Saccharomyces cerevisiae S288C: one gene and its partners. The protein of the gene in region 1 binds, or shares a complex with, the protein of each later gene. Each region holds a gene or a part of one and is shown on either strand. Other genes may lie near its edges.

Region 1 (3,042 bases):
TTCCAAATAAATTCTATCCTGGGGAGTAAAGGTTCCGATCCTTGCTGAGGATAATTGTATCTCGGTTTCAATTCTTCAAAAAGCGCATATAGCAAATCAATCTTATCAGCAATCTGTGGAGCCAAGAGCGTTGGATTTGCTTTCCATTGAGGAATCAAAGCCTCGATTTGTCGCAAATTATCATCTACGAGCTTTTGAAATATTACTGAAACTTTGGCCTCTGGCTGATTATTTATTACTGCACTTAATCCTTGACATAGTTCAAATTGTGACTCAATATCAATCGAACTCTGCACGTTGAGGAAGAAATTAATCAACTGATCAATATACCCAACTAATAGTTTAGAGCAGTCCGAACAGAAGAACATTAATGCATGTGATGATGCAGTGATTATACTTTGCATATCCGATGAACCCTCATGCAGTTGAAAACCGTTAAAAATATATTGCAATTGAACTTCTAGTAGTTCTGGATGCTTGGCTGTCCATTCGGTATATCTACCAAGAACTAATGTTGATGCATACCTAATCTTGGCCTGCTCTGGAAGGTTACAAATGATTTTAATGATTTCTGGCAATATAGTGTTTTCAGTCAACGAAATTTCTTTAGCCATAGTCCTCAGGGAAAATAATGGGGCTTCCATTATTTGCCAGCTATTGTTGTTTTCTATTGCGGACTTAATTCTTATTAGTGGTTGCGATAAAGCCTCAGAAGTTCCCACCACTGCAGTACAGTCTTTTAACACATCGCCCATATGATACCTGAAATCTTTAAATTTATCTTCTTCCTCTTTAGATGAAAACTGGCCTGATGGATATTGTAAATGAGTAATTATACCATTTATTAATTTAACAAAAATATCAGAGTAAGCTTTTCTTGATTCTTGATATCTTGGCAAAACTAAACTTTGTTTGAAGTTAAACCAAAAGGGGAAAGTATAGGAAACGACATCTAAGTCTTCATTTTTGCAGGTCAACATCAATAATACCAAAACCATTGGTTTAAAAAAATCGGGGTTTTTAGAAATGACAACTGACCAAGCCTCGCCAGCTTCTACGAATAATCGTGTCATACCTTCTAGGAGATCGTCATCATATTCATCGTTCAAAGGATGGTCTGTGAACAGAGTAGGCAATAGTTTTTCTTGTAAAAGCATTAACTGATGAAATAAAGCAGAAATCAACTGCTCATTAGTAGTATCTCTGCTTTCTCTGAGGATAACGCAGAGACAATCAATAGCGGAATCGAATGCCTCCATGTCACTTTCATTACCATTGGAAATAGTTTCAAACACGAGATTTATTAAGGGTTGTACGGTTAGCAACTGTTCAACAGGGAATTCATACGACCAAGAGTTCAAACACCGTAAAATTTGTTCTAATGAAATAGATGAGCTGGAATTCCCGTCTGTATTTTGTAATAGGTCTATGCATGATACAAGGAATTTCAATACATCTTCTGCTATCGGATCAATTAGTTCATGAATTCTGGAATTGAATTCCACTTCTGTCAAGGAAGTAGATGCAATGTCTAAGGTTTCCTCAGGTAAAATTCTTAAAAAGTTTAATAATATAGATGGTGAAGAATTCAACAATGAAATGATCTCGAAAATTGGATTCTGCCATTCTAAAAATTGGATCGCCAAACGTGCTAACGCGACATTCAGTTGTGTAATAATCAATTTTTGGTTATGCGATAATAAAAGCGTCAACAAAGAATCCTTGAATTGTGGTAGATTATTTTCTAATTGTGATAGATCATATGTGACTTTATTCCTTAAAGTTTGCGCAGCAAAAATATTTAATTCTAGAAGAGCGTTTGTAGGATCTTCTTTAGACAATATTTCATTGCAAATAGACCAGGCAACAGTTGATCTTTGGAATTGTTCTAAAAATTGAAGCGCTTTGTTTTTATCATCTTGAGATGCAGTAGACGATATGCATTGTAAAGCAGTTTCTATATCAGATACCTGTAAGTTGTCCATAACGCAAGTTAATCCTTAGTATATCCTCAATAAATCCTTGATACTGATCTGTCAACGAGTATTTTCATGCCTTTTTCCTTCATTTATTTTTTTGTCAATATCCCTTATGTTCGAAAATTTTTTTCAATTATACCGAAAGCCTGAGCATCTAACAGAGAAATAGAAAATTGAAGTGAAATAACAATAATAGATGGTAAAGGTAAGAGATAATACTAAGGAAAGGAGATTAAGGAACACAGGAAGGATATAGAGCGAAAAACAAGAGGCTTGGAATGTCGAACAAAGTTAAAACCAAGGCCATGGTGCCACCAATAAATTGCATATTTAACTTCTTACAACAGCAAACACCAGTAACGATATGGTTATTCGAGCAAATCGGCATAAGAATCAAGGGTAAAATAGTTGGATTTGATGAGTTCATGAATGTTGTCATCGATGAAGCCGTGGAAATTCCTGTGAATAGTGCCGATGGTAAAGAAGATGTGGAGAAGGGCACGCCCTTGGGGAAGATCCTGTTGAAAGGCGATAATATCACATTGATAACATCAGCGGACTGAAAGAAAAAGGGGAACGAGAGAAATAGACAATTCGCAAGTGACGTATATACATGGGCATATTTATTCTCGATTTGATTTTTTTTTCTTCTTTTCTTTAGTTGTAATGCGTCTAAGGCACTTTCGAATACATGACATGTTGAAGTAGTATATATATTAGTTATTTACAAGTTGGTTGTATTATTATTATTACCATTATTTCCAGCTCCATTAGAGGTGGGGTTTAATTTGGAATCAATTTTATTGGAAATGTTTTTTAAATCCTTGTTCAGATATGAATCCACTAAAGAAATATCGAAAAACTTTTCGTTTGACAAAGAGCCCATTATTGCGTTGTTAATTTGGGTTTGTAGGGTGGTGTTACCTGAAAGTAATAATTTTCTATTTCCAAATTGCGTGAAGTTAGAAGTTACATCATAGGCATCAGTGAATTCCTCCGTTTCATCGTTAAAAACCTTATCAATTTTCTTTAGTAGTTGGGATTCTGTAACGATGAATTCATT
Region 2 (5,144 bases), on another chromosome or scaffold:
TCAAATTTCCTAAAGGCAATTATATCATCAACAGCTGTCTTTATGCCATCCTCAAACCTCCAGTGTTCAAAATTTTTACCTTTACCGTTCCAATAAGCCTCGTGTTCATGGATTATTGAATCTATTTTCTTCTTGTCGACTTGTAAGTCATCACCGTGAGGACGTTTTGGTAAATTTCCTTTCTGCATCATGGGAGCTAAGCCCCATTCACCTCCATCACCGTATTCAAACTGCAAAGTCCAAAAAAACCAACCCCAACTAGCTACATGAGAAAATACATCTGCTTGGGTTTGTACGTATTTTTGAACAATAGCGTCTCTGTCGCCAGAAGTTTTATTCCAAGTTTGTCCATCAAGAACACCAGAAAATTCACCAACAGTATAATCGGCATCTTCATGAGGAAAATTCACAGTATTTGGCAAATCCTTGATAATGGAATTGGCATCCTTCGACTTATCAGAATCAGAAAAACAGCGGTAGACATGAGAATCAATGACCACTATTTCACTAAAATGTTTTTCTTTAACCCAGTCTGCCCATTGTTGGGGCCACCAACCATCGGATATTATGACAGGTAAACCTGGTTGAAGTTTTTCAACGGTATTAATGGCTTCTGAATAATAGAATTTTTGGCCCTTTGGGTTATTATCAAAACATGCCTCATTAACCACTTGAATACCAATGATGTTTTCGTTGCCCAGAGTCATTGTGTTAATAATTGCAGGTAAAATATCTTTGTAGACTTTGGTCATGTACTTTTCCTTGTGGAAAAACGCAGCTTCACCACTCTTCGAGCCACTGTGTGAGTCGCAATTAGCGCCTCCTGGTAGACCATGCAAATCTATCAATACACCAATGCTCATTTTCTTGGCATTATTGATTAATTCGCCAAGTTTTTCCCAAGGTTTGGCTAACTCATAAACTTTTCTCAATGGGGCAAATGGAAGCGAATCTAAATGCTTCCCATCTTCGACATGCCAATATCCAATTGGAATACGTAACGCTGTAATATGGGCATCTTTAGATAGCCATTCCCAGTCAATTCGATCAATGTACTTTTTATAGTGATCGCTTAACATTTTCGCAACGTCTTCAGAAGAATGCTTCTTCAATTGTTGGGAAATAGCATCAAATTCGCTATCATATTCTTTCCCATCGATTGTACAAATGGTTTCTTTAGAAAAAATCCATGGTTCGAGCACAAATAACGCACCCAAGTTTACACCATAATTGTAACGGTACTTGTAGATAGTTGATCTATCAAGGTCCTTTGCAGGGGGTAGTTTCGGTAGTGTTGTAGATAAATTTTGACCTCCCTTTTCAGAAACTTTGAAATGCTCAAATTTGTTTCTAAGTGAGCCAATCATTCTGTGCAGTTCAAAAGTTTTAATAAATTTTATAGATGGATAGAGAGTCTTTTTTAAAGCAACTCTTCCCAACAGAGTTCGAATTGAAGAAAAGAAAGTTATGTCTTAGTTCATCCATCCCCCCTAATTCCCTTCTTTTAAGCATTTTTTAAGCCATGATGGCAGAGAAAATGTATATTAAAAAAATATTACTGAAGGATGCGAGGTTCGAACTCGCGCGGACAACCGTCCAACAGATCTTAAGTCTGCCGCCTTAGACCACTCGGCCAACCCTCCGTATAAATGAATAGTTATTTTCAATAACCACACTTATATTAATTGTATTAATTGCAGCACTCTTTCTTTAGTAGCTCCTCCGGAGACCTTTATGAAATGATGGCGTTTCTTCTTTTAATAAATAATGTAACGAAAGTATTTTTAAAAGTCTTCTTTACCGTTGATAGAACCTTGGGCTAATTTAACCAGTACATTTATAGTGTGTCAGATTGTTCTATTAAGCAAAAAAAAACGAAAAATTTCAGAAAATATACGGGTGAGTTGACATAAAGAGTTTAACAGCAAGAAAACGTCACATTTTATGGAGAGGCCATCTTTTTTGGATCAAGAACCACCTGCAGGTTACGTACCAGGTATTGGTCGTGGAGCCACTGGATTTTCAACAAAAGAAAAGCAAGTGGTTAGTAATGATGACAAAGGAAGAAGAATACCGAAAAGGTACCGTGAAAATTTGAACAACCATCTTCAAAGCCAACCGAAAGATGATGAAGATGATGAAGCTGCAAATGTATTCAAAACGCTTGAATTGAAATTAGCACAAAAGAAAAAGAAAAGAGCTAATGAAAAGGATGATGACAATTCAGTTGATTCTTCAAACGTGAAACGGCAATTTGCCGATTTGAAAGAATCATTAGCTGCTGTAACGGAGAGTGAGTGGATGGATATTCCGGATGCCACAGATTTTACAAGAAGAAACAAGAGAAATAGAATTCAAGAGCAATTAAACAGAAAAACTTATGCTGCACCGGATTCGCTAATACCTGGGAATGTTGATTTAAATAAATTAACGGAAGAACGAGAAAAATTATTGCAATCTCAAATAGATGAGAATCTTGCACAATTAACGAAGAATGCAAGTAACCCTATACAGGTTAATAAACCGAACGCTGCTACCGATGCCCTAAGTTACTTAAAGGACTTAGAAAACGATAGAGTAAATTCTCTCTCAGACGCAACGTTAGAAGATTTACAGAAAATGCGCACAATTTTAAAGTCATACAGAAAGGCCGATCCAACAAATCCACAGGGTTGGATAGCTTCTGCCAGATTAGAAGAAAAGGCAAGAAAATTTTCAGTAGCAAAAAAAATAATAGAAAATGGTTGCCAAGAGTGCCCTCGAAGCTCCGATATTTGGCTAGAAAACATTAGACTACACGAATCTGATGTTCACTACTGTAAAACATTAGTGGCAACGGCAATAAATTTTAATCCAACGTCTCCGCTTCTTTGGTTCAAAGCTATTGATTTGGAAAGCACAACGGTTAACAAATATAGAGTAGTGAGAAAAGCACTGCAAGAGATTCCTCGAGATGAGGGCCTATGGAAGCTAGCTGTCAGTTTTGAAGCTGACAAAGCGCAAGTTATAAAAATGTTAGAGAAAGCCACACAATTTATTCCACAAAGTATGGATCTCTTGACTGCATATACTAATTTGCAAAGCTATCATAATGCTAAAATGACTTTGAATTCCTTCAGAAAAATCCTTCCGCAAGAACCGGAAATTTGGATTATCTCTACACTCTTGGAAGAACGAAATAACCCAGATATACCTGTAGATAAACTAGTTAGTTTGCTCAAGGAGGGTTTATTGGAACTCTCTAAAAATGGGTACAAAGCGACCTTGTCAGCATGGTTGAAACGTGCAGAGGCTCTAAATGATGCGCCCAATTCAAATTTAACCTGTCAAGCCATCGTTTACGCTATATTAGAATGGTTAAGAGAAAGTGGCGAGTATGAGTCTGAGTTGAATAATGTTGATCAGATATTAGAAAAAATGCCACACTCAAAGGTACAAATTGCTGTCTTAAAAAAGCTTATTCAGTGGGATCCTTGTGATACAGTTCTTTGGTCTAGACTGAAAATGGCCACTGAAAGCTACCATAAAATTGAAGAGTTATTAGCATTTTTCCAGGAGCTGCTATTTCAGACCAAGAATAGTGATGATATACGAGCAAATATGAGGGAGAAAAGCCCTGGCTTGTTAATGATGTATGTAAGCGAATATTGGAAGGCCCAAAAAGGGGATACTAGGCAAACACTAGTTTTGATTGACCAGATTATAGATTTCGCCCCGCATAATTTGGATTTACGCTTTTTCAAGATAAAGTTATTAGGTCGTTCACTACAACTTGATGAATTACGAGATTTTTTTCAGCAAACTTTCTCCTCTTTAGAGGATTTTAAGATCAGTGGCACGGAAAGATTATATTATAAATACGTAAACTTTCTGCGGTACCAAGATCTGAATGAAGAGGCTATAAAATTCTTGAATGAGAGATGTTTGAAATCATTTCCCATCTGCCACAAATTTTTTTTACAGCTGGGTCAAATTTATCATTCCATGGGCAATATTGAAATGAGTAGAGAAACCTATTTGTCTGGTACAAGGTTAGTGCCCAATTGCCCTTTATTATGGGTTTCCCTATCAAAGATTGACGAGATTGATCTAAAAAATCCAGTAAGGGCAAGATCAATTTTAGATAGAGGATTGTTAAAAAATCCTGACGATGTATTATTTTACATTGCTAAAATCCAAATGGAAATAAGACTTGGTAACTTAGATCAGGCGGAGTTACTCGTCACACAGGCATTGCAAAAGTTTCCAAGCAATGCTTTACTTTGGGTGGAGCAAATCAAGCTGTTTAAGCATGGAAACAAAAGTTCGTTAAAAAAAACAATTTTTCAAGATGCTTTAAGAAGGACACAAAACGATCATCGCGTTCTTTTGGAGATTGGAGTATCCTTTTATGCAGAAGCGCAATATGAAACATCATTAAAATGGTTAGAAAGAGCTCTGAAAAAGTGCTCGCGTTACGGAGATACATGGGTTTGGCTATTTAGGACATATGCAAGGTTAGGCAAGGATACTGTTGATCTCTACAATATGTTCGATCAATGTGAGCCTACTTACGGACCCGAATGGATAGCCGCCTCCAAGAACGTAAAAATGCAATACTGCACACCTAGAGAGATTTTATTGCGCTTGATGAATGACAAATAAAGTAATTCTATCTTGCGTTGTTTTCTACTTAGCCTGCGCGTATATTTATATGTATGTATGTATGTATACACATAATTGATAGAAGCGATGCTCAAAAAAAAAGTTAAAGAAAAGAATTAGATTTAATTAAGATTATAAGTAGTGCTTCATAGGTATTAAGACAACAAATGGTCTTTCTTACAAACGTAAAAATTTGAAGCAAAATGATGTATGTGTTTAAGGAATTTATTCGTATTTTTTTAATGAAAAAAAAATTTAAAAACAGTGCATATTTATTTGTGGCCTTTGGTCGCTACAATCCAATCCCATCTTCTTTCATGTATTAACACTTCATCGTTGCGCGTTATAATGCAGAAGATAAAAAAAGGATCGAAGTGTTTCTTTTCCAGCGAAGTTTCGGTCTCAAATAATAATACGTCAGGAAAAAGAAGGAAAAAAACATTGCTACATCAGCAGATCAAAGCATTTACTCAGAGTCGGTGGCTACATCCTCCTCCTCT
Region 3 (4,040 bases), 260 kb from region 1:
ACGAATGGCTCCTTATTAAACACTTTTATCGTCAATCCACTTACTCTCTAAATATCGTAAGCTTTGCATATATAAGCATATAATAAAAATAGTTGGTATATGCTGCACGTGTAGTCTAATGTTCTTTTCTTTTTTTTCTTTATTCTTTTTTCTCCTCTTTATGAATACAGATATTCAATTTTTTGAATATCTGATTGTTTTTATTTTCATTTCAATTTTTTTTTTTTTTCAATTTTTTTTATCCGATCGTTGCGCCAAGCTTCTATCGCTTAAAACAATGACACTTCGCTGTGAAATGACACAATGGCTTGAGATTCAGGCACAACGCAAAAGGTCTTTACAAATGTATATCACAGAATATTAATGTTTGAAAAGTACTTCCGAATTCAAGGCCACCACGTAGCCTTATACACCAAATACAATTATACACAGGTTTCAAACTTGAGAAAAACAAGATATTGAATATTAAAAGCTGGGGCTAGTAGAATTTGCTGATTAGGTTAATTGTCATCAAATTCAAACAAACTACCATTTTCAGGGGTATTTTTCCTTGCTTCAATTCTGGATTTCATTTTTGCTCTCTTTTTCTTGTTGCTTTTTGTACCATGAAATTTCTGTGACAGTTTTTTATATGCCTCCTTAGTAGTCAGTCGATTTCCCTTTTCGTCTCTGTAAACCAGTTTTATGTCAGGATCATAATGATCTTGTCTTTTTGAATGAGTATTTGCATTGGAAGAGTCACTAGATGTGAATTGTTCCAGTCCGTGTAGCTTATCTTTTGTATAAGTGCCAGTGCCCGTATGCTCTTTATTTCGGACATCCCTTCGAAGTGATTCACTATTATTAACATCCTTTCCTGGTTTCAAATCGACGTCTCCTGTGGTGAAAACACTCTTTTTCCGAAGATATCCTAGTGTTGATGCAAGACCAGAAAAAAAGTTCGGTGCATTTTCAGCATCTCCCTCGTAGTTTGGTTCATTATTAACTGCTTCAGTCAGTGTATTGTTTCCACTCCCTTCCTTAGTATGTCCATTGGTAACATCTCCGATATTTTTCTCTCCTTCACCATGCACTTTCACTTTATTCTCAGTAGCACTTCGTTCGGAGAGACTGGTATCCAAAGTATTTAAAAAAGTTACCTTTTCGTCGACGACAATACTGTTGGAAATTTCACGCATTTTCAAAATGCTTTCAGTGCGTCGCTTCTCTTCGTCTCTTGCCTTTTCAATTTCTCTAGCGAGGTCCTCTGGCCCTTTCAATTCATTGTTTGAGCTTGTTCTGGGATTTATTATGGTGACTGGCTGTTCTTCTTCCATCCAGGATAAACTTTCATCTTCATCTACTAACTTAACAATTTCCATCTTATCAGTAATTTTTGACTTCCTAGCTTTAGTAGATCTTGGGTCCTTGATCTTACGTTTTTTAATTTTTAAAGGTTTAAAGTCTCCACCATCTTCATCTGACATATTATTTGCGCTATCGAAATTCACTTTAACTTTTCCCGTTGGTGGTTTTGCTGATATAGTATTCGGTGCCTTCATAACACCCTGTTCTGCTCCGATGATTAGATGTGTAGTTGTAATTGAGTGTTTCTCTCCTTCTTCTTCTTCTTCAATATCTAAGCTAGATACATTTAAAATTTTTTTTTTTTGTCTTCTATCTTTATTCATTTGTCGTAATCGTAGTTTCTCTCTATCAGCGTTTTCCTCGGCAGCTTTCACATTCTCTAACACTTCGGTAGAATCAGTATCATCAAAAATACTGCTCTCTTTCAAAGTTAGAATCGTATCTTTCTTTGGGCTAAGCGCCTCGATATTATATGATACTTGAACATTATGCAGATCAATATTTTCGTCTTCCTTCGTGGCGCCTTTTCTTGGCAATGTGCTGGAACGTTTGGATTCATGTGAGGAAGGAATTGCATCCATGTTTTCTAGCCATGAACTGTCGTCATTTACATTAGTTTCTTCGAGAAGGTGCGCCATTCGTAAAGGAGCGTTCGCCTTTTTTTGAAACTTTGTTATCTTCTCTCGAAGTTCATCGATTTTGGATGTGTTATGTACATTAGGGGGAGAAGAATTGAAATTTTGTTGGGGTGGGATAAGTTTTAGGCCAAGGGACGCCCTCAACTCATTCGTCTCTTCGATTGACAAAGACTCTTTATGGTCTGTATTCTTTTCTTGAAAAACTGGAATAGGTTTCATACCCAGCTTTTCCCTTATTTCATTTGTCTCCTCAATAGAAAGGTTTTCCGTTTTGTTCATAAATTAATTAAGGGTTGATGTGATGATTGCCTTTTTATTAATATCAAATAGTAACGATTGCACCATCTCATCCTTTGCTCACTTTCAAAAATTTTGTATATCTTTTTCGTCCCGCGAATAATTTTAAGTTGCGCAGTTCACGATATGAATACCTATAACTGCTAATGGTACAAATTTTTTAAAGGTTAAACAAAACTTTTAATGATATAAAGTACCTAAAACTATGTAAACATAAATTATGTATACTATTTCAAATATATCACCTAAAAAAAATAATAAGTTCAATTCAATATGGGCGTACAGCACTAATTTACAGATTATGGAATAAAATATGAAATGAGAAATAGGTTAAGCATTGGATAATTATAGAAAATTTTCTAAATCCAAATAAAAGGGAACGCGAGGGGTCACTAATTATTAAAATGTAAAATGCATCCTTATTTCTTCTCTTTCTTCTCTTTCTTGGACTTCTTTTCCTTCTTCTCTTTCTTCTCTTTCTTCTCCTTCTTTTCCTTCTTTTCCTTCTTTTCCTTCTTGTCCTTCTTTTCCTTCTTAGCTTTTTTAGAATCCTTGGAATCTTCATCATCGTCTCTCTTTCTCTTCTTTTCTTTCTTTTCTTTCTTTTCTTCCTCTTCATCATCAGAATCGGATTCAGAATCAGAAGCAGCCTTTGCGGTATCAGCATCTGCATTGTAGGCCCTAGCTTCAGTCATTTCCACCTTCTTAGCCTCACGAACAACCTTTGGAGTAGTTCTTAAATCTCTACCTTCTAATTGGGATAATCTATTTTCTACTTTGGCTCTTGATTCTAGACCAATGTCACCTGAATCGTCTCTATCTTCAGCTAAAGCATCATAACGCAATGAGACAGCGGCCTTAGCAGCCAGAACTCTTGCAATCTTACCTTTGTTCTTACCAGTAGCTTGACCAACAAGAGAGGCATGATATAGCAAACCATACTTTGGTGTATCATGCTTGGTCTTTAAAGCTCTGAATAAAGCCTTTTCGGCACCTAATATTTGGATGGTAGAAGCTGGTGATTTGGCCAAGGAAATTAAGGAACCTGAATGAGCGATAAGTCTAGCACCAACTAATTCACCAACCAACTGAGTCAAGTTTGGAGCAATAGCCTTCATTCTTGCAGACAAGTAATTGGACAACTGTTCTCTGTAAGCGGCAAATTCGACTATTTGTTCAGCTAAAGCATTAATGTTGTCTAGATCGGTTTGAGTGATTTCAGTACCCATAGACACTTCAGCAGCGGTTTTGACACGTTCTTCAATCTCTTCTGGTAAGATTTCACTCAAATCTGTTTCAGAAGCCTTGGATCTGATACCCATTGTTAGAATAATTCTCGCATAAGCGACGGAATCAGTAACAATCTTAGCTAACTCAGGAAAGTGCCACCCGTACCATTCTTTACATCTCATGGCATATGTGTTTAATTCTTTATCTAAATCATCCAATAAAGCAATTGCTTGAATAATCATAACATCAACTTTGTCAGCAGAAAATTTTAATTTGTGACGACCGATGGAATGAGCTAAACCCAAAGACATCTTGCTTAGATCATTATCAGACATACCTGGCAGCAATTCTGGCAAATATTCTTTGATAGCTCTATAGATATCTAAGGTTACAGCATCGGAAACAACATTGAAGTTCAATCCCAACTTATTAATAGCGTTTGCCAGTTTAGTTTCACTAACAATCAAGGTCGACTTCTTGTCCTTTTTAATTTCTTCCAGAAGTTTTTCTAATTGGGAAGAAACTTTA

The links. Proteins that work in one complex are often made in the same cells at the same time.
Region 2: SME1 (region 1) and PRP6 share a complex: the UniProt entries of both Saccharomyces cerevisiae proteins name them as parts of the U4/U6-U5 tri-snRNP complex.
Region 3: SME1 (region 1) and SNU66 share a complex: the UniProt entries of both Saccharomyces cerevisiae proteins name them as parts of the U4/U6-U5 tri-snRNP complex.

The regions. Positions count from the first base shown.
Region 1 is NC_001147.6:632,782-635,823, reverse strand, and holds SME1 (mRNA splicing protein SME1), read left to right. Parts: upstream 1-2,257; coding exon 2,258-2,542; downstream 2,543-3,042. Other genes in the region: mRNA transport regulator MTR10, read right to left, coding at 1-1,985; mitochondrial 37S ribosomal protein mS26 PET123, read right to left, coding at 2,704-3,042. UniProt on the Saccharomyces cerevisiae protein: Involved in pre-mRNA splicing. Binds and is required for the stability of snRNA U1, U2, U4 and U5 which contain a highly conserved structural motif called the Sm binding site. Involved in cap modification.
Region 2 is NC_001134.8:344,102-349,245, reverse strand, and holds PRP6 (U4/U6-U5 snRNP complex subunit PRP6), read left to right. Parts: upstream 1-1,944; coding exon 1,945-4,644; downstream 4,645-5,144. Other genes in the region: MRX18 (17-beta-hydroxysteroid dehydrogenase-like protein), read right to left, coding at 1-1,367; YRO2 (Yro2p), read right to left, coding at 5,111-5,144. UniProt on the Saccharomyces cerevisiae protein: Participates in pre-mRNA splicing. Part of the U4/U5/U6 tri-snRNP complex, one of the building blocks of the spliceosome.
Region 3 is NC_001147.6:894,124-898,163, forward strand, and holds SNU66 (U4/U6-U5 snRNP complex subunit SNU66), read right to left. Parts: upstream 2,265-4,040; coding exon 501-2,264; downstream 1-500. Other genes in the region: RNA-processing protein NOP58, read right to left, coding at 2,702-4,040. UniProt on the Saccharomyces cerevisiae protein: Component of the U4/U6.U5 tri-snRNP particle, one of the building blocks of the spliceosome. Required for pre-mRNA splicing.